Regions from separate parts of the Mus musculus genome. Here regions 2, 3, 4, 5, 6 and 7 are each reported to be linked to region 1. The links are microRNA targets in miRTarBase. Many come from high-throughput screens and were not tested one by one. Region 1 holds a microRNA gene; each other region holds the end of a gene's coding sequence.
What was found. The annotated mature microRNA mmu-miR-3102-3p reads GAGCACCCCAUUGGCUACCCACA and lies in region 1 at 2,510-2,532, shown strand. An mRNA with a match to its seed (bases 2 to 7 or 8) in the 3' UTR can be bound and repressed. Matches are read on the target gene's strand: a 7mer-m8 pairs with bases 2 to 8, a 7mer-A1 pairs with bases 2 to 7 and ends in A, and an 8mer does both.

Region 2: the mRNA of Pigr is a reported target of mmu-miR-3102-3p. The part of its 3' UTR that is shown has no 7-base or 8-base seed match.
Region 3: the mRNA of Taf7 is a reported target of mmu-miR-3102-3p. Seed matches in the 3' UTR shown: 7mer-A1 at 863-869 and 7mer-m8 at 2,372-2,378.
Region 4: the mRNA of Ddit4l is a reported target of mmu-miR-3102-3p. The part of its 3' UTR that is shown has no 7-base or 8-base seed match.
Region 5: the mRNA of Mrps24 is a reported target of mmu-miR-3102-3p. Seed matches in the 3' UTR shown: 7mer-m8 at 3,034-3,040.
Region 6: miRTarBase lists Ptgfr as a target of mmu-miR-3102-3p. The part of its 3' UTR that is shown has no 7-base or 8-base seed match.
Region 7: the mRNA of Cdh11 is a reported target of mmu-miR-3102-3p. The part of its 3' UTR that is shown has no 7-base or 8-base seed match.

What each region holds. Positions count from the first base shown.
Region 1 is chr7:100,880,771-100,884,838 of GRCm38, reverse strand. Mir3102 (microRNA 3102) reads left to right here and starts at 2,430; the gene lies at 2,430-2,533. It overlaps Arhgef17 (Rho guanine nucleotide exchange factor (GEF) 17), which reads left to right. Exons shown (of 21, transcript NM_001081116.1): 4 at 955-1,071; 5 at 1,277-1,369; 6 at 1,547-1,723; 7 at 2,016-2,066; 8 at 2,320-2,429; 9 at 2,534-2,619; 10 at 3,028-3,146; 11 at 3,447-3,660.
Region 2 is chr1:130,850,602-130,854,669 of GRCm38, reverse strand. It overlaps Pigr (polymeric immunoglobulin receptor), which reads right to left. Exons shown (of 11, transcript NM_011082.3): 11 at 2,421-3,869. The coding sequence ends at 3,774. Among named protein-coding and RNA genes, the nearest start is that of Fcmr, 13 kb to the left of the region's middle.
Region 3 is chr18:37,638,976-37,643,043 of GRCm38, reverse strand. It overlaps Taf7 (TATA-box binding protein associated factor 7), which reads left to right. Exons shown (of 2, transcript NM_175770.4): 2 at 1-2,553. The coding sequence ends at 557. The region is part of intron 1 of Gm37013 (predicted gene, 37013); the gene reads right to left. The region is part of intron 1 of Gm38666 (predicted gene, 38666); the gene reads right to left. All of the region lies in intron 1 of Gm38667 (predicted gene, 38667), which reads right to left. Among named protein-coding and RNA genes, the nearest start is that of Slc25a2, 2.3 kb to the right of the region's middle.
Region 4 is chr3:137,625,702-137,629,769 of GRCm38, reverse strand. Ddit4l (DNA-damage-inducible transcript 4-like) reads right to left here. Exons shown (of 3, transcript NM_030143.4): 3 at 1,438-3,804. The coding sequence ends at 3,314. Among named protein-coding and RNA genes, the nearest start is that of Ddit4l, 4.1 kb to the right of the region's middle.
Region 5 is chr11:5,701,163-5,705,230 of GRCm38, forward strand. Mrps24 (mitochondrial ribosomal protein S24) reads right to left here. Exons shown (of 4, transcript NM_026080.3): 4 at 2,820-3,570. The coding sequence ends at 3,287. Among named protein-coding and RNA genes, the nearest start is that of Mrps24, 4.5 kb to the right of the region's middle.
Region 6 is chr3:151,798,029-151,802,096 of GRCm38, forward strand. Ptgfr (prostaglandin F receptor) reads right to left here. Exons shown (of 3, transcript NM_008966.3): 3 at 582-3,898. The coding sequence ends at 3,596. Among named protein-coding and RNA genes, the nearest start is that of Ifi44l, 37 kb to the left of the region's middle.
Region 7 is chr8:102,630,579-102,634,646 of GRCm38, forward strand. It overlaps Cdh11 (cadherin 11), which reads right to left. Exons shown (of 13, transcript NM_009866.5): 13 at 1,517-4,068. The coding sequence ends at 3,736. Among named protein-coding and RNA genes, the nearest start is that of Cdh11, 150 kb to the right of the region's middle.

The sequences.
Region 1 (4,068 bases):
ACGCAGAGTGGGGTCTTAACCTATGTACGTAGGCCTTAGTTTGTCCTTGCTCCTTGGAAACTGGTGCCACCAGGTAGGATTAAGTGCTGTTGCCTTCACTCTCTGTCTGGACCTGGCTGCTGTCTGTGGGCTGACAGGGAGCTCCACAAGGCAGGCCCTCCCTCATCGGCTCAGGTTCAGCCCTGCCATGTCCAGAGACAGGAACATTTGGCACCTTAGAGAATCAGGGACTCCAAGATCTGTATCTTAGCCTGTCCTTGGTGCAGCTGAAACTGGAACCCAGTTGTCCTCTCTTGTGGAAAAGCCCTCTCCTCCGCCCCCCACCAGCACCTACCATCAGCCAACCAGCAGGATTAGCCACCACTGTGAACCCTGTCCTGAGCCAGGCTTCATTCTGCCAGGAGAGAGCCCCTAAGTCAGGCAGCAGGCACATTCCATAAAAGCAGACTGCAGCTCAGTGCCAAGGGTGGGTCTATTGTGCTGGGAGGGATGTTCCTCATGGAGGAACGAACTGCACAGGCAGAGTCCCAGAAGCTACAATAATGTGTTCACTCCTACTACCAGGAAGGTCTGAGGCCTGCCTTGCTGGTTTAATGGGATTGGAGACCTGGTGATAGATTGTCTGGAAGTGAAAACAAATAACAACAAACAAATAAACAACAACAACAGCCGCAGCAACATTAAAAGAAAAACAAAAAACAACCCAGGTCTTGTCTCAGCACACATCTAGGCACATGTATTTGTATGTATGTATACATATATGTGTATATATATATACATATATATACATACACACCTGCTCATTCAGTCACGTTCATGCATGCAACATGTATGAATTTTGAGAAAGACAGAGAAGACCTGCCTGACCATTTCAAGTTAAATAGACAGAAGCCAGGACAGGGTGAAGTGGGTGAGGGACACCTGAGCCTGCCTAACCTGCTTCCTCACCCACAGTTTTCCAAAGACGTCTTGGTGAACATCTATTCGGCCTATATTGATAACTTCCTCAATGCAAAGGATGCTGTGCGTGTAGCTAAGGAGGCCAGGCCAGCCTTTCTCAAGTTCTTGGAGGTATGTGGACTGGGGTAGGGGTGAAGCTAACATGTCAGGCTAGCTCTGGGCATCCCAGGAGCTCTTGACCAAAAACATTGTGGTGCTTGCAAGTGTGTCAGCCTCTGCCTTTGGGCTCACCTGGAGGGACTTGGCTAGGAGCGTGTCTCTTCCTGCCGTGTCAGTCCTCATGTGAGAACTCCCTCCACTCTGCCTTCGGTTTCAGCAAAGCATGCGTGAGAACAAGGAAAAGCAGGCGCTGTCCGACCTCATGATCAAGCCTGTGCAGAGAATCCCACGCTATGAGCTTCTGGTGAAGGTAACCACGGGCCTGGCTGGACAGGGAGGCCCTGGGGGTCGGGGGGAGGAGTATGTCTGTTCTCAGACTCCAGGCAGGAAAGAAAGTCCTCCTTGATGCCTATACCATGGTCTCTCATGCTCCAGCAGTCAGTTCAATACCTCAGGGCAGCTAAACAGGTCTCCATTCCCGCCCCAGGACCTTCTGAAGCACACACCGGAAGACCATCCAGACCACCCACTGCTGCTCGATGCTCAGCGCAACATCAAGCAGGTGGCTGAGCGCATCAACAAGGGTGTGCGGAGCGCTGAGGAGGCCGAGCGGCATGCCCGCGTGCTTCAGGAGATCGAAGCCCACATCGAGGGCATGGAGGATGTACGTGCCCCACCCTGCCGTGCCCCAACTTGTCCCTGTCTGTGTCTTCATCTGTCACCCGGATTGTGGCCATCCACGTCCAGGTCTGTGGTCAGCTTGCTTCTGTGACCACAGTGCCCCACCCTTCTGTGTCCTCCTCCTCCTCCTCCTCTGTCTGACCTTGTGTCCCTGTCTGGCAGCCCAGTGATGCAAGCGAGGACAGGATGTCGCTCTGGCTGACCTCGTTCATAGAGTGGTCAACCGATCACTGCAGGGTTAATAGACTAATAACTAGTTCTCTCCTACCCACCAGCTCCAGGCCCCCCTGCGGCGGTTCCTGAGGCAGGAGATGGTTATTGAAGTGGTAAGGGTTCTCCCATTGGCTGTTCCCCCAAGTACCTTCAACCCACCCAAGTTCACTCTCTGGCGCCTGCTGCCCTCTGGTTCCTGCTCCCCAAGCACCACACAATGGGAGCCCTGCATGAATCCCGATTCCACATAAGTGGGGGAGAGCCCTCACCCCTCCCTTGGATTTGCTGTTCCTGGGGAACTAGGGTAATGTAGGTCGGCCTCTAGACTGTGCACACTGAGCCTGAATGCCACTTTGGACCCTACAGAAGGCAATTGGAGGCAAGAAGGACCGATCCCTCTTCCTGTTCACAGACCTCATTGTCTGTACCACCCTGAAACGAAAGTCGGGCTCGCTGAGGCGCAGCTCCATGAGCCTGTGAGTGGCCAGGGTGGGGCTGGGTGGTGCAGGCAGGAGAGCCATTGATCTATTGTGGGCTCTACTCCCTGCCCCAGCCAGAGCACCCCATTGGCTACCCACAGGTACACAGCAGCCAGCGTCATTGATACAGCCAGCAAATACAAGATGCTGTGGAAGCTGCCACTGGAAGACACAGACATCATCAAGGGTGAGGCTGGCTGAGTCTGTCAGGGGTTCTGCTGGTGGCTTTCCCCTGAGTCTGCCTGCCTGTCTGTTGGTTTGTCTGCTCTTGTGACTCATCTTTCATCCCATATGAGAGATTGGTTTTGAAGAACCGGGTTAGTTTCCATGCAAATCATCCTCTTAGTGCCCTAGCAAGTTCTCCAAGAGTTGGCCGTTCTGTGCCCTGTGACTCTAAACCAGACCTCTCCTCCCGGGCCTGTTTTTTTTTTCTGAGAGCTACCTGTTGACCTTGTTTCTGAGAGCTTGGGTCTGGAAGTGCTCCCATTTGCCAGACCAATCCCGTGCTCAGCTGAAGGCTGTGCGCTAAGGGAAGTGTGTCTGTCCAAGCTTGACCTTGTTTGATGTGTTCATGGCTTTCCTCTGTCCTCGCCAGGGGCGTCTCAAGCCACCAATCGGGAGACCATCCAAAAAGCCATCAGCCGCCTGGATGAGGACCTGGCCACCCTGGGCCAAATGAGCAAGCTCTCCGAGAGCCTCGGCTTCCCCCACCAGGTCTGTGCCCTGAGCTAAGGCAGTGTTGGCTGGGACTTCCCCTGACCTTGCCTGAGGGACAGACAGTCTTGGCTTTTGCCTGAGGGAGCAGTTGGTCCTGTCACTTATCTGAAGGGGAAAATTATAGTCTTGCTCCCACTTAAGGGAAGTGACAGGTCCGGGGTCTGAGGGAGGAGACCTCTGAGGGGGAGAAAGGCCCATCCCTGTCTGTGGCAGGAGGAGGCTGCCTTCCACGGTCCCCTCGGTGCAGGTGCCCATGTGGTGACACCTTGGCCTGAGGCCTGGGTTCTTTTCCCACAGAGTCTAGACGATGCACTGAGGGATCTCTCGGCCGCCATGCACCGGGACCTGTCAGAAAAGCAGGCGCTATGCTGCTCCCTGGCCTTCCCGCCCACCAAGCTGGAGCTGTGCGCCACCCGGCCCGAGGGCACCGACTCCTACATCTTTGAGTTTCCCCACCCGGATGCCCGCCTGGGCTTTGAGCAGGCCTTTGATGAGGCCAAGAGGAAGCTGGGTGAGCCAGAGTTCATGTTGGTGTCTTCTCTCACAGTCCCTGTGCAGTCCTGACTGTAGAAGCCAGGACTCTCTGAACTGCCCTCCTGTCCTCCAGCGGCCGATAGGGAAGGTGGCCTGAGACTTCCACAGTGAAGCAGCAGGCTGGACATTTGCTCTGGCTCCCAGCTTCTTCCTGGGGGGGAAGGAACTCCTGGACAGAGTCGTTTGGGGACAGGGACCCCAGCATACGCCTGAACCACCAAGACCTTCCTCTTCCTCAGTATAGACTCAGCTAAGTCCTGGAAAGTTATTATTAAGTCTACAGCTTAGAGATCCAGGGCTACTCATTGTACAGAAAGGAAAACTGAGGCCAGACACAAACGGAGTAATCCATGACCTCTCATTCTAGCTGAGCTGGTACCCGGCC
Region 2 (4,068 bases), not on the chromosome of region 1:
CATTTAGCTTCGCCAAGCCTCCAGCTACCACCTTTGTCAGGGACCAGTGACCCTGCAGCTGCTGCCCACACTCGGGCCCCTTCCGTTTCTTTTTGTTCCTCCCGGCTTAGCGCAACCTAGCCGCCAACACTGACCCGGCTTCTCTTGTCTATCTGCCTTTGCTCCTGGAAGGGTCGAGTTATCAGCCCCACCCGAGATCTGTGAATCCACGGATAAAAAACACACAGCTTTATTACTTTAGAACTTGCCGGCTAGCACAATTGCTGAACACAGATTCTCCTGCCCTCAACTTTTCAGCTAGCCTTCTCGATCTCCTTGGCCATCCTCTCTGGTGGCAGAGGCCGCTGGTTCTAGCTTCCCCGAGATCTTACATGATTTAGTGCTTCTCGTTTCAGAGCATGGCAGAAAAGCCCTTCTCTTTTCCTCTGTCTCCTTTTCCTCCTGAGACTCGGAAGTCCTACCTGTTCCTTCGGCCCAGCAATTCTATTGACCAAATCAAGGACCTATTAGGACACCAGACTTTAATATCAGCATCTCCCCCTACAGGAACTCTAGTCATTTTAATCCTGACTCCTCTTCACTGGGGCACATAGAGGCAGCTCCTCATCTATCACCATACCCAGAAATCCTTTTTTTAATTTACTTTTGAGACAGATCTTGCTAGGTAGTGGAGGTTGGCCTGGAATTCACAGTATTCAGGCCTCACTGTCGCTAGTGTTGTGACTATAGCCATGTGCCACCATACTGAAGGGCCTTGGAAGATACTCTCTTGAGCCCTTGGCTCACATGGCAAGGTGACCTGTTTTTCTTTTCTGCTGTAGTTTCATGGCCAGCTTACTTGGCACTTCTGCCCCCAGTCTTAAACCTTTTATCTAGTGTGCCCCTTTCCCACTTGAATAGCATTATTTCTGAGATAATGCCTCATTATTTCTTTTTATGGTACAGGCTCCCCAGTACAATTAAATACTCCGGGAAGCTTGGGTGATGGGCACACTACAGGCTTCTTTGCCATGGGGTCCAGCTTCATAGTCTTTATCCTAAGTGGTTTGTCTCTAACCTCTTGGAAGAATTCTTCAGTCTTGAGTGTTAGAAAAGTCTTAAATGTTTGGTTTGATATTGAAAGTAAAGTCAACCGCCACCCCAAATATCTCAGAACTGCTAGGTGGGCCTTGTTACTGTATAGTTGTACCATTATGTCACAGCCTCTCAAAGATAATTTCCCTAGTCATCAGACGTTTCAGTGACTCCCTGAGTGGTGGTGGTGGGGCATTGCTGATCTGCTTATCATCATCACTCTCACCGTTGATTATTAATCTTTTGTACAGAATTAAATATCATCCTAACAACATTCAGGTCCACCTGTGAGTCAGCTTCCTTCTTGTAAGGAACTTCCTCGGGAGCAGATGAACTTTATGTAATGCCCTTGCTACTGCTTACTGAGAATACAAGTTAGGAATAATATGACATTACCTGTGGCTTTAGTGGCATTTCTTGGCCTCTGGGTACAGGGATTGGGGTAGGCCATGTGATGAGCCCAGGATCGGGCCTCTGGTTATTGACATGAATGCAGACATTGAATCTTAACTTCTGTTGTACACAGAGCCACTGCAAGCAGGATGGAGATGGGGCTGGGGCTGGGGCTGGGGCTGGGGCTTGGGCTGGGGCTGGGGCTGGGGCTGGGGCTGGGGCTGGGGCTGGGGCTGGGGCTGGAGCTGGGCTGGGCTGGGACTGGACTGGGGCTGGGCTGGGGCTGGGCTGGGGCTGGGGCTGGGGCTGGGGCTGGGGCTGGGGCTGGGGCTGGGGCTGGAGCTGGGCTGGGCTGGGACTGGACTGGGGCTGGGCTGGGGCTGGGCTGGGGCTGGGGCTGGGCTGGGGCTGGGGCTGGGGCTGGGGCTGGGGCTGGGGCTGGAGCTGGGGCTGGGCTGAGGATGGGATGGGGATGGGATGGGGATGGGATGGGGCTGGGGCTGGGGCTGGGCTGGGGCTGGGGCTGGGGCTGGGCTGGGGCTGGGCTGGGGCTGGATGAGGATATTGCTGCAAAAACAAGTGTCACAGCTTACAATTAATTATATCTCTTCTGGGATGACTTTCTATCATTACTGGGGAAGCTAGATCTGTATTCTCATTACAAACAAAAGGAACCAAACATTCCTCATCATTTTCTCTGTCTCTTTTTTCCTGGGTGGGAGTCCAAGACACTGATCTAGGCTAGGGCTAGGGAATTAAGACAAAGTACTGCAGTTGGTGGTCCGAGAGGATTGAGCTCAAGGAAGAACAAATTGGTCAGTATTTGTCCCCAGGGCATAATGCTCAAGATCTCTCAGCTTAGCTTTCATGGTGGCTGAGTTTGTTTGAACACATATTTTGGGGTGTCTAAAGTAGGAGCTAAGGTATGGATGACAAATGCACTCTGAGCCTCCTTGGTGGCAATCATAGACTTTAATTATTAATGGACATTTCTGATTTGTTGGTTTCGGTCTATAGGTGCTGGTTGAAGAACAGAGCTCAGAGAGAAACAGTCCTAATTTGACTATTGGAAAAACAGCTGCTCCCAGGCTCCATCTTCTACCTGTCTGCTCAAAACTCTCCAAATACAAGAGGTTGAGAGTATCTTTCCCTTATATGAGGTCCACATGAGTGACAGGAAGGGGAAAGGTGAGACCAGGAAAGATCCATTTGTCTTTTTGTCTGTCTGTCTTTCTTCTTCTTCTTCTTCTTCTTCTTCTTCTTCTTCTTCTTCTTCTTCTTCTTCTTCTTCTTCTTCTTCTTCTTCTTCTTCTTCTTCTTCTTCTTCTTCTCCTTCTTCTCCTCCTCCTCCTCCTCCTCCTCTTCCTCCTCTTCTTCTTTTTTCCTTCTCCTTCTTCCCCCTTTCTACTCCTCCTCTTCCTGCTCCCTCCTCCTGCTTCTTTGAATCCAAGTCTCAATGTATCCCAGGCTGGCCTTAAACTCCCTAGGTAGCCAAGGATTACCTTGAACTTCTGATCCTATTTTTACCTCTTAATATTGGGATTGCAGGAGCACACCACCATGCTCCTTTAACTCATTTTCTCTTACTTTCCCCCATGCTAAAGTTCTCCCTCTAATAAGAGCAGAGGTCTTGAAGACAGATCGTAGGCCAAGAGCCAGGAGTTGCCACATCTGGTTTGACGCTAGTCTATCTCACTAGGCACTCTTGAGAAACATCTCTTCTCATCTGAAAATCATGATGCCCTTATGGCTTGTGTATGCCTATGAGGCACAGAGGCAGGAGGTATGCCTGGTAATGATGTCTTATCTTAATGAAAAGACAGAATCTGGGAGGAGATGGCATCTCTTCCAGTAATATTTATAGAAAGATTGTGGCCTGGCTCTCAGCATTTAGTAGGCACTGAAGCCTAGTGAGTTCTCAGATGTGTTGTTTGAATCAAGAGGATAGGAAAGGAGAGATGGAGGAGAGAAGAGTTACGCTGACATCCTATCATATGGTTATAAAGAAGATTCAAATGGCCTTTTCTCCTGAAACGAGCCCCTATTGTGAACCCTCTTCCTCCAGAGATGTCTCTCAGGTTCACCTCCTCCTCATTTCCACCTCACTCTCTTCATAGAGAAAAGAACGCCTCACACTCTCTCCTAAACAGGCGTAACTAGGCCAGGCTTCCATGGCCGAGGAAGGAACCAGCACACCTCTGAGGACAGGAGGGAAGAGCGGAGGTGATGGGTGAGTGTGGGCTGCGAGCAGATCAGTGTGATTCTCAAGTTGATTGTCACAGGCAAGGGTGGGTGGTCAGCACTGCCTAGGCTTCCTGGGGACCATCGTGGACCTGTGCAGCTATGGTGCTGGACTGAAGCAGGAATGCCGAGTAGGCCATGTCAGCTTCCTCCTTGGATGACTAGGGAGCAACAGAAGAGGCGTTAGTAGATGTCGGGTGAGAAGGACCTACATCTGAGCTTCTGAGTTTCCCATCTCTGCTGGAGCAAAACACTTCTGAGACCTCACTCTGAGCCAGCCCCCGGGCTCAGCAGGAAGAGATAAAATTTGAGAAATGGAAAGTTGTAGCCTCTAAAAATATCTCCCTCTGTCTCACTACC
Region 3 (4,068 bases), not on the chromosome of region 1:
TTGAATCTCCGGATGTGGAAAAAGAAGTCAAGCGTCTGCTGAGTACAGATGCAGAAGCTGTCAGTACTCGTTGGGAGATAATTGCTGAAGATGAAACAAAGGAGACAGAAAATCAAGGCCTGGACATCTCTTCTCCAGGAATGTCTGGCCACAGGCAAGGCCATGACTCACTAGAGCATGATGAGCTTCGAGAGATATTCAATGACCTCAGCAGCAGCAGTGAAGATGAAGAAGACGTAAACATCCTTGACACTGAGGAAGATCTGGAGAGACAGCTACAAGACAAGCTAAATGAATCCGACGAGCAACACCAAGAAAATGAAGGAACCAATCAGTTGGTTATGGGAATTCAGAAGCAGATAGATAACATGAAAGGCAAGCTCCAAGAAACCCAAGACAGGGCAAAGCGCCAGGAAGATCTCATTATGAAGGTAGAAAACCTGGCTCTCAAGAACAGGTTTCAGGCAGTTCTGGATGAGCTCAAACAAAAAGAAGACCGCGAAAAGGAGCAGCTTAGCTCTTTGCAGGAAGAGCTGGAATCACTTCTGGAGAAGTGAGCTTGTTGACTTTAGTCCTTAGACTAGTCAGCTCAAGAAAAAATTATTTTCAGAGTAAGGTCTTGAAATACTTTTTTTTTCTTTGAAATGTTCTTATTCCCTGAGTTTTGTTGAAAATTTTTTGATTGTTTTTCAGAACTATGGTGGTGGGTTTTCATTCTTAAGAAAATAGGATTACATAGACAGGTTTGTTGTAGGGAAGATATAAGAAAGATGAGTGAAATGAAAACACTTGAACTTTTAATCACAGGACTTTATTACAATTTGTTTCCTAAAAGTTTCTAGTCCTTTTTTTTTTTTTTTTTGGTGCTAAGATCAGTAATAAGCTAGCCTACAGGCAGTGAAGTTAATTTCTTTTAAAAGAAATATATTTTTTTTTACCTCAGCAAGTTTCCATGTTACAGAAATGCAAGTTTTTCATAAAGGTTGTTTCTTATACAATAAAAGCTACTAATTTTCACTGTTTATGATGTTGTTCTATGAATACTGAAAGTTGAGGTGGTTCATGGAGTTTAATGACTGAATGGTGTAGATCAAGATAAATCCTGTTCTTTTGTTTTTAGGAAAAGGAAAGCACCAGGTAAGGAAATGGAGAAATTCATTGTTGCATTATATATTAAGGTTCAGGTCCACCCACTTCATCTGGAGGTTTATGAACACTGGGTCTAGAGCCTTCTTAAACTATCCTAGTTTTTATGGATGGATATCTGTATCTTTTTCTTAAGCACTAAGGTTATCTGTAAAATATTGGAAGCAGTTATCAGATAAACTATTCCACATGCTTAGATTAAGATTATATTTTAACTATTGCCAATTTAACTGCTACAATTATTTAATAGACTGATGTTTATTCATATTGTTTCATTAGTATTTCCCAGTATGAAAACCTGTGTCCTGGTCTGGGATTTTAAAATTTCATATACAGAGAAAAATTCTGTGTGTTTTTTTAAATACTAAAAAGCTGCCCCTAGGCAAACTAAGTATGAATTCAGAATGGAAGTCATCTGGCCCCTTTCATTGAGAACTTGCCTTCTGTATTGCTGTTGACGGCTGCCAGAGCCTCTGAAGCCCTAACTAGTCTGAACAGCTTGAGGTCAAGGCATACCAGTACATATCAGTGACTTGATTGTATGATTTTTGGGCCGTGTAATTTGTAGCTTAATCCGTTTGCTTCTATTTTCTTCTCTCTGAAATGGAGGTGATAGTATTACCAGCCGCACAGGGCTATTGGACTGACTTAAATCATAAGGCAGGCTTACTTAGAACAGTACCTGGAATATGGTGAGTGAAGAGTTAACAAAGAAACGTTACCATTTACTAAACTGGATCATAAAAGGCATTAAAGAGTGATAGAGAATAGTAAGGTGTTTACAAAGAAATTTTTTATTTTTGACTCACTCTGTATCTCAGGATGGCCTTGAACTCAGTTCTCTCAATCAAGTGCTGGGACTGTAGGTGTGCATGGGCAGGCCTGGCTTAGGCAACAGCTGTTTTAATTAGGTTTTGTTTCAAATTCAACAAAGGCTCAAACCGTCTATTTTGGAAAAGGTTTAGAATATCTACAGCATAAAAATTGACTCAACTTATTCCTGTAGTTTTCTTGTTTGTTTCTGGATATTTTTATAATAATACTAAAAATGGCATAAGGAGTAATTATCTGTTAATAAAATTTAAAAGATGAAGATTGAGATCTAAATCCTACATTCTCATTAAAGATTCACTTTTCTCATGCAGCTCTTAGCTAAGGAGTATGCTATAAAGACAGTGTCTATGGGTTCAAGGGCAGATTATGCTTGTGTATGTGTGTGTGTTGGGGGTGCTGGGCCTTGGGAACACTAGGCAATTGCTCTGTCACTGATTAGTACATTTTAAGAGGTATCATCTCATGCCTTTATTTGTATACAAAACATTACATTTATGTAGTTTTCTAATGCAAAAATTATAATTTTGTTATATAGACCCTCTAGAGACTTGTCTAAAAATATGAATGTTTATCAACCTGTGAATCTTTTTTTTTTTTTTAAAGATTTATTTCATGTGTGTGAGTACACTGTTGCTGTCTTCAGACACACCGGAAGAGGGAATTGGATCCCATTACAGATGGTTATGAGCCACCATGTGGTTGCTGGGAATTGAACCTAGGACCTCTGGAAGAGCAGTCAGAGCTCTTAACCACTGAGCCATCTCTCCAGTCCCTGTGAATCTCTTATATAATAGTTTTTTCCTAATGTTAGCCACTACAGATGGTAATTAGCTGTAAGGAAGGAACTCATTAAAGTCTGTGCTCAGAGTTGTTGATACCTAAGATCTTTATCCTTTGAAGCCATCTCACAGAGAATAGAAAGTTTACTTTTTTCTGTATAAATTGAACCAATGGAGGCCCCAACTCAAAACACACAGATTAAGAGTGAGGTGAACAGCAGCTGAAAAGGAATTTGTGTGCAAGCTTCTATGTATTTACTGTAGGGGCCTTGTTAAGTCATGTTTAGGCATACATACACGTCTGAGATTGGGTGATTAGGTTCTGCAGCGTTGGCCCCTGGGCTAAGAGCACTTGCTTCTCTTCCAGAGGACCCAGGTTAGGTTTTCAGTGCTTACATGGTGGCTTACAACCTATTGTAAGGCCAATTCTAGGGAATTTAGCTCTCTTCTGATCTCCATGCTGCACATAATTGCAAATTAGTAAAATCTTTTTAAAAATCTTAGAATATTATCTCTAAAGAAAAGTTATCTCAGAGAAAATTCAAATGTCAACAGTTGGACATTTTCCAAAGGAAAGGCCATCTGCTGAAAAATTCTACCTCTTACCATGTACAATCTGAGTTTTAATACCTTACTGTTTTGTTTTTGAGAAAGGGTCTGTAGCCCTTTTGGGATTGTCCCTGTAGATCAGGCTGGCCTTGAATTGAGAAATCTGCTCACACCTGCTTCGGATTAAAGGTGTGTGCCACTCCACCAGGCTAAAACCTTTTAAATATAGTTCATGAAAGCTAATGAAAGAAACACTGATCCCAAATCTGGGGTCCTCTGTAAGGCGGGAGTCCGAGCTCTGCCTTGCCTGTCCCAGAGAAGAGCAGCTGCTGTGGGATGTTTTGTTTCTTGCCACGGACTTAAATGTAGTAGTTTCCAAGTAGTTTGTCTTCTCTATTATTCTTTTTTTTTTTTTTTTTTTAGTTTTTCGATACGGGGTTTCTCTGTATAGCCCTGGCTATCCTGGAATTCACTCTGTAGACCAGGCTGGTCTCGAATTCAGAAATCCGCCTGCCTCTGCTTCCCAAGTGTTGGGATTAAAGGCGTGCGCCACCACGCCCGGCTTCTATTATTTATTTTTGAGGCAGAGCCTTTAATATATATCCCTGGCTGGCCTCAAACTCAACTAGTCTCTGCTTCTTGAATGCTGGAGTTAAAAGTATGTGGCCCCTAGCATGGCCTGTCTTCTCTTTGAAAGCACTGTTCTAAAATCCAGATTGGATCAGCTGAGAGCACCTCTTGTGTAGTTTTGCGTAGTAAG
Region 4 (4,068 bases), not on the chromosome of region 1:
ATGAGAAATGCATATAACAGCCTTCACACACACACACACACACACACACACACACATACATACCACACCATCAACACACACACCATCAACACACACACACACACACTACCACACACACACCACCAACACACACTCACACACATGCCATACATACCACTAACACACACACCAACAACATACACTCACACACACACATACTACCACACACACACACACACACACACACACACACACACACACACACACATAACACACATTACTAACACACACTCACACACATATCACACACCATACACATACCACTAACACACACCACACACCACACACACAATAATACATACACACACACACACCCCTAACACCCACCCACCCACCAACAACACATATCCTTCCTCCTACAACACACTTACATACCATACACCACCACACACACACATACCACCACACACACATACATATAAACACCACCTACACACCCTACTACCACCAGCACACACATGCACACACAACACACACACATACTAATACTCTACCACCACTATATACACCCCAAGACTCCCCACCCCACCCCCACACTCACCCCACACTCACTGGTTTAATCTCTTACATTAAAAAAATAATCACTAAGTGATCAAATCAAGTGGTCAGGCTTGGTGGCAAGCGGCTTTACCCGGTGCCACCATGCCATCTCACCTGTGCCACCATGTCATCTCACTAGCCTATGGACAGGTTTTAAAGTCTGAGCCAATTCCTGCTACCGATGCGTCTTGCCAATAGTTTCCTCATTTTTCTCTACCCGATTTGAAACCACACTAAGCATTTGCTTTTGGAGTCCTACACCAAGTACAGGAGCAGTGGGGTCTTTGTTTAGCAAGCTTGAAGCTATAGTTTCAATCCAAAGCATAAATTAAGACTATACCTTTTCAAATCTCTTTTCCAAGCAAATGTTTCTGGCCCTGTCTATGCTGTCTTCACTGTGTATAATATTGTTAGCTTATCTTTCAAATGTTTGAGGTTATACCACAAGAAATCCGAGGGAATGAACATTAATTTGAAGAGATAGAAAAGGTATGTGAAAAATTAAATTCTAATTGAATAATAGGGGAGTTAAGGAAGGTCTGTCATTTAATAGATTAGGAAAATTGAATATGTATGCTGGTCATATAATTAGTTATATATTTGAAACTATGCAAAAAGTCTTCATACAATAAGTTTTGATATTTGTTTTGAACAAGGCAGTTGCCATTGGTGCTCAGATCATTAATGTCTTCCTATAGAAAATATGAGAAATACTGAAAATTATGAGAAAGATGCATTCTTTATTGAGGTATAAGTATTCAAAATAAGTGTAACTCATTATCTTTCTCCAAATACAGTCAAGTCTCTTCTAGGGTGATCATGACACAAATGCAGAAAAAACAAAGAGGCCAAGGGAATTAAAAATATATAACATTTTATTGTAAAAAATTGACTTTAACAGGATTGTTATTGCAAGAGCCTCCTTCAGCCATTACTATTTTGAGAGTCAAATGGGCAGGAGAACCAGAGAACTGCTAACGGGTAAAAGATCTATGTCCATGCCTGAGAAGCCTCACCATCTTCCCCAGCAAGACTCAAAACAGCTACAGAAACACAGCGACCTTCAGAACCTGGGCATCTGTAAGCCTACAGATCAACAGGGTTTTGCCTACTGGCCCAGTCTTGTGAAGACTAGCTCCGTGGTACCTCCCCAAGTTAGAAGACGTGCTCATTGGAACAGTGATGTCCTAGGTCACCCATAAGACCAGTAACTATCAGGCTTGTTTGTGTAAGGTCAGGATGAAGACATTTGTCCCAGCCAAGCTGGTGCCTGAGGTATACAAACTCATACTGAAGGCCTAGGCAGGTGACCCGAAAATGTTACTTTCCATGACCCAAGGAAGAAAAGACCTTGCTGAATAGAACAGAGTTACGTGGAAGGTAAATTGTCTCATGGCCATAAAACCTGAGAAACATCTAGTTACTTGAAATGAAGCAAAAGCTAAGCAAAAGAGGCATTTGCTGTTTCCTAGGAATGGGCTGTGATATAGTGGATGGAGCTGGGTATGTGCAGTGATTGTCTTAAGTTATCATAGGACTTTCATATCTAGTCTGTGGTAGCAACAACATCTCAGAGTCAAGTCAGGCTCTGCCAATATAAGCACATTGGTAACTAAAAAGAAGTGTGATGTTAAGGAAAGGTGATCCAGTTCCTAGAAAAGACCAGAGATGAGCTAACTGCCATGTGGTGAGACACTTCACTGGAGAGGAAGCATCTTGGTGGCACAAAGCAGCAATGTGACCTAGTGGATCCGAAAGGGACGGGATCTGAAATTACCCTTCTCCATCTTTAGAGATGGGTAATCAATATTTGCTCAGTCAAATCAACTCTATGCAAAAAGACAGTCATTTCTTTTTTTTTTTTTATCTACTCAAAGACAATGTAAAAAATGATAACATTCAACAGTTGGTAACTAGGAAAACCAAGTTGACACAATACTACAAAGGCACTGAAAGCCATCATGTAATCATTGCAGTAAGAGGCACACTTCTCGTGTCTCCTGGGCACGGGTGTGGGGAGACCACCAGGCAGGGAAGCCATGCTCTTGTCACTGTGATGTTTATTCGCTCTATGTAAGGTGATGTTTTAATCCAGCGGATCAATTTAACTGTACCCTCTTGTGTAAAAGCTCTTCAAATTCAGGGAGGAAGCTGGTAGTGCAGATCTCTATATGTTTTGATGGGGCTGCACATCATCTTGTCAGGTCCTGTCATTGAAAAGATGGCTCTCAGAGAGGGAGGGAGGGGAGGAGAGAGAGAGAGACAGAGAGACAGAGAGAGACAGACAGATATATATATATACACACACACACACACACACACACAGAGAGAGAGAGAGAGAGAGAGAGAGAGGCGGGTACAATAACAGCAAGCCCTGGGCACATGAAAGTCAAATTAGGCAAAGTGGATCTTGCTCTGTTGCTAAGACTACCTGCTAAATATGAGACCAAATATAAAATTAAAGGAGATTGCTTCTTTTTCCTCCTTATTCCATTCTATCCCATATGGACACATATGTGGGCAATTTGCTCTCTTGAATTATGTCTTAAAAGCTGGACAAAAAAAAAAAAAATCAGCCTTTAAAGTGGGTTGCTATGGGTGAGACACACAGAAGGAAAAGGGCCTAAATCTGGGATTTCCTGGTGAGGGCAAGCAGGCAAACTACAAATGACTGGCTGGATAGCTTCAGAGGTTTATTATCCACTCATTAGGGGCCTTTAATTGTTTTTCCTCCTTAGCACTCTTCAATGACTGTCGTTCCAATCAGGGAGTACAGTTTTTTCTTCACAAGTCGAAATCCTGAGCTGAGAATCAGAGTTCGCTTAAGGCCTGAGGAGAAGCGACCTCTGCTAAAGAAGAAGTCCTTGAGGCTGGTCCACGGGCAGCTCTCCTGCTTAAACACAAGCGTGAGCTCAAAGGTCGGCACCACGCTAGCATCACACACGATCCTATCCAGCTTTTTACATACATTTTCAATCTCCAAGTTCACGTGCATAACACAACCCCGAAGGCCGCAGGGCTCCGTGGACGAGAGCCGCAGGACATCTTGAGCAATTCTCTGGGTCAGTTTCTCAGGGACCAAGACCTTAGAGCAACCAAGTTTGGTTTGCTTTGATCTGGACAGACAGTTCTCCAACATTTTAACCAAATTCTGGCATGTTGTCTCTTCAAATACCACCTCGTTGAGGTTGGGCTCAGGGACAACATAATCCCAGTAGTCGAAATCTGAAAGAAATGAAAGTTTTAGTGAACAGAGAAGCAAGGTGTACGAGGTCTTACTGGCATAGTAAGACTGGCCACTTCTAGCTTCATATCTACCTGCTTTTAATACTGCTTTCTCTCATCTCAATTTTGCTGTTAACCATGTAGGTAATAGAACAGGCCTTCTAACCTTTCAGGACTGAAAGCTCATCTATGCCCTAAAGACTCTGATAAACATAATGAATAGGTTAAAACAACCCTCTTTTACAATTTCTTCTCTCCCCGTAG
Region 5 (4,068 bases), not on the chromosome of region 1:
CCTCACAGGTGTGCCTTTTAGTTGATTCCTGGCCTGGTCATGCTGACAGCCCACATGAAATACTAAAGACAAAGCATCAGGATTAACTCCCTGAGAAGCAACTGAACAGACAATGTGAGCCGCCTTGCTTTTCTATGTGTGTTTATAAAGTTCTTCAAGAAAGCATGGGCGGGGGGGGGGGGTATGGGGGACCTTTGGGATAGCATTGAAAATGTAAACGAGGAAAATACCTAATTAAAAAAGAAAGAAAGAAAGAAAGAAAGCATGGGCAGATTACAGTGTTTTGTAGATATTTGTTCAACATCTTATCACAGAAGCAGCCTGGTTTTAGCCAGAATGGATTCAAGATAAGCACTGTATATTCTGAATCATATGATTACTCATAATTACTGTATTTGTTTCCAGAGGTGGTTCTATAAATGCTACTGAAAATGTGTAAATTCATAATGTCCTGCATATTAATAATAAAGTTTTGAGATTGTGCCTTAGAGCTTCAATGCTGTGAAGAGACACCATAACCAAGGCAACTTTTATAAAGGCAAACATTTACTTGGAGCTGGCTAGTTTCAGAGAGTCAGTCCATTATCATGATGGCAGGAAGCATGGCAGCGTCCGGGCATATAGGCTGCTGGAAAGGACCTGAGAGTTCTACATCTTGACTGGCTCTTCTGCAGACAGCCATGAGGAAGGTCTCTTCCACACTGGGTGGAGCATAGGACCCAAAAGCCCACTCCCATAGTGACACACTTCCTCCAACAAGAGCACACCTATTCTAAAAAGGACATACCTCCTAGTAGTATCACTATGAGCAAGCGCACCACCTATCCTGTTGCATTCCTTCACTGACATCAGACCCATCTCTCTCAGGCTTCCAAGGTCAACTGAAGATCAGCAGCTCCCAGAAAGCCTCCACTTGGGGCCTAGTAGTGTCATTTCCTCCAACAAGAACACACTTATTCCAATGCACACAGGCAAAACAAATGTGTAAAATACAAATGTCTTAAGATACTTTAAATTTTTTATCATAGACATGTTTGGTTTTGAGTCTCTATCTTGTATTTGGATATTCTGCCTTTTAGGGAAATTGCCACACCCACTCCAGTAAAGACTGTGTGACAAGGCCAAAAGCTTGGATACAGTCAAGGAAACTCAGTCTCCTGGAACCTTGGCACAGATGCTCCAAACCTGTCCCAGCGTTAGTCAGTGAATGGGTCTGTGTGCTTTCTTTCAATATTGTTTTATTATAGGTGCCTCTAAGAAATGATTTTACTAATACCTAAATCAAATTGAACTTTGCTTCCGGGCCTTCACCAATGTCCTAGGCAGTCCTTGAGCTGACCCTGGGCTTGGAATTTCGTAAGAATGTTATTCATCCAGACGAAATGCCCCAGTGTTGACAGTAATCAGGCATCTCAGTTTGCCGGATAGGAGCTAGCATTCTCAGTCTAGTTCAAAATAGTAAACTTAGAATTCCCATTGCAGAAATGAATGGCAGCCTACATCACATTAGGGGGAAGTAAAGTATTGTATTATTCATGAAAGGGTTAGTAGAACAGAATTCCCCTGGCCCAAAGGAACAGCATAAGTAGGTATTTACTAAGGGACCCCTGCTGGTGGGCTTAACAATACACTAACATTGCATCAGACCTTTCACCTGGCTCCTGTGAATAGCTGACTTTAAATAGGGCTATTCCTATCTCAGTTGAAAACACTGCCTGGCTCCTGTCAGCTTTTTATTGTATGCATTCTTTGTTTTGTGTGAAGAACCATTATGCATCTCAATGTACCTTGGCTGAAATATCACCTAGCTTTCTTGTTTTTCTTCTGTATTGTAAGTCTGGCGTTCGCTTTGAGAAATTACAATCAGATACAGCACTCTCTCTCTGGTGTCTGTGTCTGTTTTGTCATCCTCCAACTCCTTGCTCACCTCTATGGGTATCCTGGTTCCCCCACAGGTTGAAGGACCGACTGAGCCCAGTCCGTGGCAGGAATTACCCTGTTTTATCTGTGCTGAAAAATGTTGATATAGATTATTCATAGTATCCTGTCTTATCCTTAAATTTTTAAAGCTTTGTGTTTTGCCTATGCGTATGTTTATTCGCCATGTGACAAAGTACCTGCAGAGGCCAGAGAGGGCACTGGATTCCCTGGAACTAGAGTTACAGATGGTTGTGAGGTGCCTTGTGAGTGGTGGAACTGAACCCTGGTCCTTAATAAAAAGCAACGAATGCTCTTAATGGGAGCCATCAGTTCAGCCCTTGTGTAATAAGTACTGACCAATATTTTGTTGATTTTTCTGATAGACCCTTGCTGTATAGCCTGGAACTTGCTACTTAACCTAGGCCAGCCTCAAAGTGCAGTCCTCCCCCTACTGTACAGCACTGGACAAGACATCCAGCCAGGCTCAGCACTTCCTATTTTTCCTTTTTTTTTTTTAGATTGATCTATTTTATATGAGTACACTATAACTGTCCTCAGACACACCAGAAAAGGGCATCAGATCCCATTATAGATGGTTGTGAGCCACCATGTGGTTGCTGAGAATTGAACTCAGGACCTCTGGAAGAGCAGTCAGTGCTCTTAACTGCTGAGCCAGCTCTCCAGCACCCATTTCCTTTGTTTGTTTGTTTTTTCAAGACAGGGTTTCTCTGTATAGCCCTGGCTGTCCTGGAACTCACTCTGTAGACTAGGCTGGCCTTGAACTCAGAAACCCACCTGCCTCTGCCTCCTGAGTGCTGGGATTAAAGGTGTGTACCACCATTGCCTGGCTCCCCACCCCCCACCTCCCCATTTTCTTAAGGTACTTCCACTGTTGATTTCCTGTTGAATGTTTAATTCATTTACAAAAGCTAACTGTAACTCCAGCTCCAGGAATATCCAATGCCTTCTACTCATGTGCACACACACACACACACACACATACACACACACACAGACCCATCCACAGACAGACCCACCCACGCATAATTAAAAATAAAATCTTTAAAAGAGACCAAGAGAGGCCAGGCGGTGGTGGCACACGCCTTTAATCCCAGCACCCAGAGGCAGGCGGGTCTCTGAGTTCCAGTCCAGCCTGGTCTACAAAGTGAGTTCCATGACAGCCAGGGCTATAGAGAGAAACCCTGTCTCAAAAAAAAAAGAAAGAGAGAGAGACCCAGAGGGACAAAACATGATCAGGGTTTTATTCAACAGCAGCTTGGAGCTGACGCCTCCACCTCAGAGAACAGGCATTTGGTCTCCTGCACCTCTGTGACCTTGTAGGCTCTACTGGAGAAAAGTGCACTTTTTATATGTACTTGTACACGACCTTGGAGGGCACAGTTTGCAGGTGGAGTCGCACAGGACACTTGTAAAAGTGTGACAACAGAGTCTCACTGTAGCCCACGAGGAAGTAGAATTTGTGTGCTGGCAGCTGCCTGAGGACCAGGGCACAGATGTCCACTTGGTTGGCCCGGCGCTTCAGAACAATCTGGTCAGCCAGGCAGCCGGGAAAGGTGCCCATCATAAACTTTCGAAGGAAAACATCCTCCAGGGTTCTCTCTGCAGCATGATCTTCTCCATCCAGGTTACCTAAAGAGGACAACACACAAGCAATCGTCAGCCAAGGGAGCTGTGCAGACCCCAGACCTGACATGGAACAGGCCTGGGCACGCTAACGGAATAGGAAAACATTCTAAAATCCAAAGCGCAGGGATGGCAAGACGGCTTAGCAGGTAAGCGTGCTTAGTGTAAACACCTGCCAATCTTGGGTCAACCCCGAAGTACACCTTAGAAGCCAGATTTACTTCCCCTGTTGTAGCTGCCTTTGAGTCATCTCATTAAACCCTCAGTCCACAGCTCCTCACACAAAAGCCAGAAGCAGTGGCACACACCAGTCAGCCTAGCACTCTTACAACGAGATGACGGAGAACTGCCCAGGAAGTTCAAGAGATGCCTGGAGTCCAAACCACAGCAGACACGAGAAAGAGAGAGGCCTTGTCTCAACAAGGTGGTGTGGAGACAACTGCCTCAGAAAGTCGCCCTCTTCTGACCCCCACAGATGTACCATGCACACATGCACATACACTT
Region 6 (4,068 bases), not on the chromosome of region 1:
TCAGTATAATCTCTGTATATGCAACCTTGGGAAATGTGACATGTATTTTATCTCATTTTCATAAAAGATTTACAAAGACTCCAAAAAGGTTTAGTGTTTAGTGTTTGTTTGCTTATTAAGATTGCAATTCTCCAAAGGCCCAATGTTTCCATAGACTGTGAAGCTGTGCAGACAACAGTTTACCTCATACAACAGACTATAAATGTCAAAACGGCTTAAACACTCACACTAGTGAGCTTGTTGGAACTCCTTGTACTGTTTATTTTAATGAATAGGAAAAAGCACACTTTTACTCAGGCCTATGTAAGTTATCAGAAAATGCATCCTCGATTGCCTACTGCACAGTAAACTGTATACAACAGCCACTATAACAAACAAAATTTTAGAGTCAGGCATAATATGCAACTTCTTCAATTTTTTATATTTACACTGTGGGTTATTCTCATCACAAGATCAGTACTTTTACCCTAAAAGTTTGCTTAGATAGTATAGATAAATCTTCCAGAATATGCACTGAATAAACTCCTTGGCACTTCCCAGAGCTTTGCCTTCGTCACAGGTTGATGTTAAAAGATGGTCTCATTGTAGACATCACAGCAGTAGAGGAACAATTGTGTCCATATCAGAGGCTCACAATAAAGAGCCCTGGAGCCTCGAAACAAGTCCCTTCTCAGTGCCTTTCCTCAGTTGAAATGCATGGTCATGTTAACTGCAGAGTTTTACCAACTATAATTAGGGAAGACAGAGACTTGGTTCTTCATGCCTCTGTTTTTAAGATGCCAACATCTTATTTCTGTAGAAAATAAATCTGCTCAGAAAGTAAGTGAACTGTCGGAAAGTTTGTCCAAGCTTTGAGTACTCTTGAAATGAAAGATGATAACACTTATGTAATGCAACAGTAATCATAAATTGTAATGCCTTTTTACAATCATATGCATTCTACATGTACATGCACATACATATACACACATATTCATAAACACTCACATGCATGCACACAGGAACACACATACATATATGTATACATATGTACATCACAAAAACCAGCATGTAGCTGTCAGCTTAAATTTAAATTGTGCATGCTCTTTACAACTCCGTGCTCAAGTTACACCAAAAATCATTGTCTATTCTCTGATATATTCTCTACATAGGAATCAGTTGTGCGATTGATCACTTGTCTTAAGATTATCACATAATAGTGTGTATTCCTTTCGAATCACTATAAATAATTTCCTTTAAGTCTTCAACAAGACTTAAACAAATTAAGCTATTAGCTTAATTTCTTTCAATTTACTTAGGAGAATTTACCAAAAGCAGTAATCATATCTAGTGTAAACTACCAATCAAAAGCAAAAGTTTTTGAAGATAGTATTTTGAGTCCTAGAATCTGAAGTCATTTTTATAGATAAAAACAATTTTGAAAGGCTGGAGTGATGGCTCAGCAGTTAAGAACGGCAGCTGCTTGAAAATGGTGCTCTCATTTCCTCAGACAAAGAGATGAGATGAAAGCCATACTCTAGCTGTGTAAATACACAGCTTAGGCTGAGCTCAGAGCATTTTTTTCTCTGTTCTACTTACCCCTAGGCCTAGGCCTAAAAGCTTCTACTCTCCAAACAATCTAATCTTCCAAACTAACCGATTCAATCTGGCTTCTCTCCACTTCTGCCTGATTGCTTGCTTGGCCTCATACTAACTTTGTCAATAAGCTCTGCTCTTCTGGATTCTTCCCATTCTTTGGTTCACTCTGTCTTCACCTGCACCCATCTTGTTCTCTCTGCAGCTGATCTATGTAAAACTGTCCTGGGAAAACTAAAATTGCCATAAACACAAACACACACCAGAGCCCCTTTCTCTCTCTCTCTCTCTCTCTCTCTCTCTCTCTCTCTCTCTCTCTCTCTCTCTCTCTCTCCTCTCTCCTCTCTCCCTCTCTACTCTGCTCCTCAGTATCCTCTCTTTCCTGTGCTATTCCCATGTGAGTTAGGCATATCCTTTCTCTAACTCATTCGGTCAAAACTTTCTCTGATTCATCACTCCATCTGCCCCTCAATTGGACATTGCTTTCAAAAGTGACTACTTCCTTCTACAAACTAACTTTATCTTCATTGTTAGGAATTAAATGTGTGTACTAAGGGTGTATCTATATTATAGCCAGGTCCAGGCATGTCTGCATTCCAGCCGGATCTTATAGACCTAGAAGGTCTTTGGATGTGATCTCTTGACAGAGAAATCATGTTGAAGATACTATTTTAAGTCTATTGAATTCACATGGTTTCGGGATGATGCACATGATGCACAGAAATGCATTCAGGTAAAACATCCATACACACTGCAAAAACTAGTAATAGTCTTTAAATGAAGCCAAACTTGATGGAAGCAAGGAAACATTTTAAATATGAAAATACATTTCCATATAAAACATAATCACTAACCCTAATCAGTGCTGAACCTAATGTTTAGAATGATTACTGAAATTGAGTATCTTTGTGTTAAATTATAAAAACAAAGGAGAAGTGTGAATTAAGATTGGGAAACTTGGCAACAGAATCTTAGCCTCAGGTTAACTGCAACAGTGGGGCCAAACTCCTGGCTAATTCTAGATCTTTCCACTCCTCACTGACAACACAGGCTTTTGGAAGTGTGGTTCAACTTATTTAGTGAAATTGCTGTTAACAGAACTTCCTTCTGTCTGTGTGTGTGTGTGTAAGGCAGAAACAGAATAGCTGCAAACAGACTTCAAATGTGTCTTGATTGTTTTTCTTTTATTCTCTGACACAGAAAGGACAACTCAGATAAAGCAACGTTTGCCATGTTCTTGGCATGTGTAAGTGGGTTTCCAATGTTTCTATCGTCTATAATAGGGCTCATGATAGGCTGTCATGAGCTGAATCTGTGCTAAGACAAAGCCGGCATTTCTCTACAATTTTCAGAGGAACTGGAGATTACTTAGACACTGAAAACCTATGACTTTATAGGAGGATAACAAATATGGAAAAATAATTAACCTTCATAACAACAAATGCAAGCACTCATACCTGTCAGTTGTGACAAGAATGATTATCCTCATCAGCCTCACAATATCAGGCTGGCCAACCTACACAGTGGCCATCAAAGTCACCGTGAGTCTCAGATGTCATGGTCATGCAGATATTGATTGAGGACACATGGACTGGTAAACAGAGCAGAACCGCACACGCAAACAGAAAAAATGACTTGTGTCATTTTAAGCTTTGTCTGTAAGTCAGGGATCCTCAAATGCCATGTCACAGTGCAAGTAGCATAAGGTGCTTGGAAAAATAGGTCAAATAAAGGCACTAGGCCTCAACAGATTCATTTATTCCAAGAACGTAAGCCACACAGATTAAACTCAAATGTGTGTTCTACTCAAGGACACCACATTGTATCTGTCTATCTCCTGTTGACACAAACAAATGAAATACACAACCATGCAGCAGTCAGCTTAACAAAAGTCAGAAGGTGTGTCTGACCAGTGTTCTCCCAAACTACACAGAGGTCCAAATGTTCCAGTTACACGATGAGTCGGATCAACTGAGATGTTTCAGAAGTTTCCGTGACTTTCTTCTAATACTGCATTGATTTACAGTCCAGCTTCACTCGATGCTTGCTGGCTCTCCTTCTCTGCAGCTGGTGACTCAGAAATAGCAGCAACCTTTAAGGAATTCTTGATGGAGCTGAGTTCCCAGATATGCAAGCTGATGATGTTAACTCCACAGCAACGACTGGCAAGTTTATACAGGTTCCTAAGGACAGCCTTCCGTAGCAGAATATAGACCCAGGGATCTAAGATCTGATTCCACGTTGCCATGCGGAGAGCAAAAAGTGTCGTTTCACAGGTCACTGGGGAATTATTTCCATTTATTGCAATGTTGGCCATTGTTACCTAGAAAACAAGCAAAATAGGAAAAGCTGTTGATCACAGACATTTCTTCATTCCCACAGTTTTTCAAGTTGACAACAAATATAACATGACCTTTGTACCACATCTCACAAAGTGCTGCCATGTTGCAAAATACTGATGGATATAAATGCATGATGCCATAAATCATGGAT
Region 7 (4,068 bases), not on the chromosome of region 1:
TTTTCTCCAATTTCATCCTCTTTTCCTCTTAACATAATCTCAGGTACCAAGATCAAAGGAGTTCAAATTTCTCAGAAAGGGAAGTTTAAAATCATAATGCTTTTCTTTAATCAGACATCAAGTCCCAAAATCCCTGTTATGTCAGGGTGCTGTCATCCACAGCAAATATTTATTGTTCTTTCAAAACGAGAAAGCAGGAGCGATGACTTCTTACATTCTCATAGGTGCTCAGAAACCCCCACCCCCAAAAGGCCATAAACTATGAGTGACTACTGGCACCCAGGTAACTGGCCATTAACGGACTGTGTAAGGTTGGGGAGGGGCATATTTTATCTATATGAGAACTAAAAGGCAAGTAGTGTAGATTCAGTGCCAGGCATTGACATCAAGATGGACTGATAAAAAAAATTGAAGAGATTTACAGGATCATACTCTCATAGTATAAGAAAGCAAAGGAGTCAAAATTTATCTTAAGTCTGAGAAAAAAACAGAAAAACACCTTATGTAGTAGAACCCTGTAATCTGTGTTTGTTTGTTTGTTTGTTTGTTTGTTTGTTTGTTTGTTTTAATAACACAGTAACTTCTCTGTGGAGAAAAACCAAGAGCAAAAGTAAGTCTGAACACTTTCACAAACTAGCCTAGTAGTGGTTGAGCAAAACAGCCCTGTTTCTCTTTCCCATCTCTGATGAACTGAATTTTATGATCTCACTATGTCATAATTTCACCCAGGGATATGTCCTGTCATGTTTAGTGTGTATATGCTTCTAATCTGTCCTGAACTGCTTGTTCCATAGGGCGTGGTACTATTCCTTCCACAGTTCCGTTTCCCTTTGGCTCTTCTGACTGAACTGGAAAGGCACTCAGACAGTAGGCAAATGTGTAGCCCAAGACCCCAGAGCAATTTCCAACACTCTTTACCAGATCCCATCACACTGAGGGAGCTGTTTTCACTAGGTTTCATGAATTAGTATCTTTAAAATGCTCTGTAATAGGTGTAGATGGCCTGATCTCATGTTCCCACATCATCCTCAGGATTTCTGACAAGAACAGTTGTAATAAACCTATACTCCATCTTACCATTTTTTCCTATGTATTCCATCATACTTATTTTTCCCTCAGCATTACATTCTCTTGAAGGGTAGCTGATCTGAACACGAAGCAGGTGAATGAAGTCAACAAAATATTTTGAACCATAATGGGGAAGAATAAACATTGTTGAAGAAGGTAGCAAGGATTATTCTAAACCTCAAGTTGCTAGTGTATGGCATGCAAGAGTCAGATTTTGAAAAGTGAGTGCATCAGTAAATTGATTAATGAATGAATGAATGAATGAATGAATGATGAATACAAGCCACACCACACAAGAGAGACACCCAGCAGAGAGAACACACCAGCACTCTTTTTCATGTGTGTGCACACCAATGTCGTGAAGCTGTGGTTGCTTTGTAACCAAATAAGGACAGCCTAAGATAAGATTGCTCTTAAGGTACCATGTTCCAAATGACAAAAGATTCCATGAATTGGGAAAGACATTTTATTTCCGAGCTTCTAAGAGGATTCTACAAACATTAAGATACTTAAAGTAAAAAAAAAGAAAAAGAAAAGAAAAAGAAACAAAGAAAGAAAAAATGGAAAAGAAAAGAAGTTGTCAACTGTATTCTGACTACATTCCTATATAAGTAAAAGGATCATATTGATGGTGAGGGGACTTACAGCAGAGTGAGGTTCATTTTCCTTTTGAGTTATTCAGTAATTTTAAATTCAATTGGAGATCAGCATGAACCTAGCAAAATATTCTTTGGATTACAAAGCCTATCTATAAAATAAACGTAACCTGCAATTATGCAAGTACTGAGAATACACATTCCTTCCTGGGATCAAAGACTCTCAAGTGTCAATGTCGACTAAGTTTCTCCCATTGAATTAGTCAACTGATTTGATGTCAATGCAAAGTGAACTGGGAGGGAGTGCATCATAAAAAAACAGTATATAAGGTCTCATGAAATAATCACAATATAGTAAAAAAAAATCAAAATTTTCCATAATCCAAGAGAAAAAAATTGTTTGTGCCCTGTGTTTCAAGAAAAGGAGGGGAAGTGTTTGCAGTGTGACTCTGTGTGATGTCTTCCCAAGTATTGCTTTGTCTGGACCTTTGGTCCGTTGTACAAGTGAAAGGTCCTTCACAGAAGTTCCAATTCCCAGGAAACTAGAGGCAACTGCAGATGACTGTGGCATTATCACAGATCAAATGGCATCAATCATCAATGTTCAGCATCATCCCTGATCTCATTGAGAGTACATGGCCCAAAGCATCTTCTATAATAAAGGTTGGAGAGTGAATTGCCCTTTCTCTCATTAAGACTTGAAATTTTATATTGTTTGAAGACAAAATAAAATTACAGGAGGACAAAAATGAGAACTTTCAACTGTCAGTCAGTCTTTATCCTAATAAAAATTACATAAGGAAAACCAGAGTTGGCTTTGACTCTGCACCCCTTCAACTCCACAATGCTCAAGGCAGGGCATCAAGTCTATATCTAGAACATCGAGAGGTCTGGCAGTCCTCATGAATTTGTCTCTCATAACTATGAGTTCACAGGTTAAATGCATAATATATAACATATTGTAAAATCATAGGCTAATCATAGGCTAGTCTAGATCTCTAATGTCCTTCTTTAGAAGATATACTCCAGGAAAAGCCAGAACATACAAAAAATCATTTACATGAAGTTACAGAATCTTATCTTTAAAAAAACTCAAACATATTTGATTTAAATAAACAATGAGAGCAGCAGACTACAACAGATCATAAATAGGGTTATTAAAGATCACAATTAAATTAGGAATATAAATGGATCATTAGAAACCCTTATTTTTTTTCAATGTTAAGAATCAAACCCAGAATTAAAAAAGAATCTTTTTTTTATTTCAAAGGTTGCTTCTTATATTGAAGCTCATATTAAAGCAACAGTACAATGTTCATAAAATATAAGTGTGATGCTGTAACATTTTCGTACATGTCAGAATACTGATATTTGTATGTATACTAAAATAAGAACTTTAAAATTGTACAAATAGATACATTAAAAATGACATAGAAATAGGGTGCTCCTCACTGAAACAAGACAGTTATATCTGGCACGTATTAGTTTAGGATGAAAGTAGAAGCAAAAAGATTTACAAGAATCAGCAGTAACAAGATTGATGCTCAAGAGACATAATTGTACATTGTATTGTACATACATTGTATGGGTTTAAGCTGGCTGGATATTATATATTTCAAGTTTAAAAACGCACTACAGATAGAGTGTCCATAGTTTAAGGCGAAATTACAGCTCAGAACTGTTGTCCTTTCTAATTTTGTGGAAGCTTCTTTGACAAATTAAAAAATAAAATAAGAGAGACTTAGATGTTCTTAACACATAGACGATTTCCCTTCATTGTAAGTTCACCGTGGACTTCTCCTTCATTTAAATATTTTGTGTGCCAAGTGGTTTTTTTTTTTCTACTGAAGTTGATAAACAACTTCAATATTTGCTTTTTAAGTGGGAAAAGGTACTTCACAGTATTTTCCACTTTGATGTCCTTGCAGTTTTATTAAATGTTTCCTCTCTGTAAAACTCTGCTTGTTTTAAATGAGCCTTTCCTTGATTTAAAAAAATACCTGTTTACACATCTTCTAGATTCTTGAGAATGCCAGACACAGTTCTTAAGGCCAAATTTGTAACATTATTGTTAAGAGTCATCATCAAAAGTGTCTTTGGAGCCATACAAGTCTGCCAGTTTCTTAAAACGAGGTCCCCAGTTCTGTAGATAGTCGTAGTCCAGGTCTGAGTCTGTCGTGGCAGACTCCAAGGAGCTCAGGGACCCAGCCACGGAACCCCGGCCCTCATAACCATAGATTTGGATGGAGTCATAGGGAGGGGCTGTGGGATCATTATCTGCCTCCTGTATTCTTGTGTTGATGAAGTCGTCCACATCCACACTGTTGGGTGCTGGTCGCAGCCCAGGTCTAGGCATATACTGATACTCAGGTTTGATATCTTTGCGAGGGATAAATCCATTGAT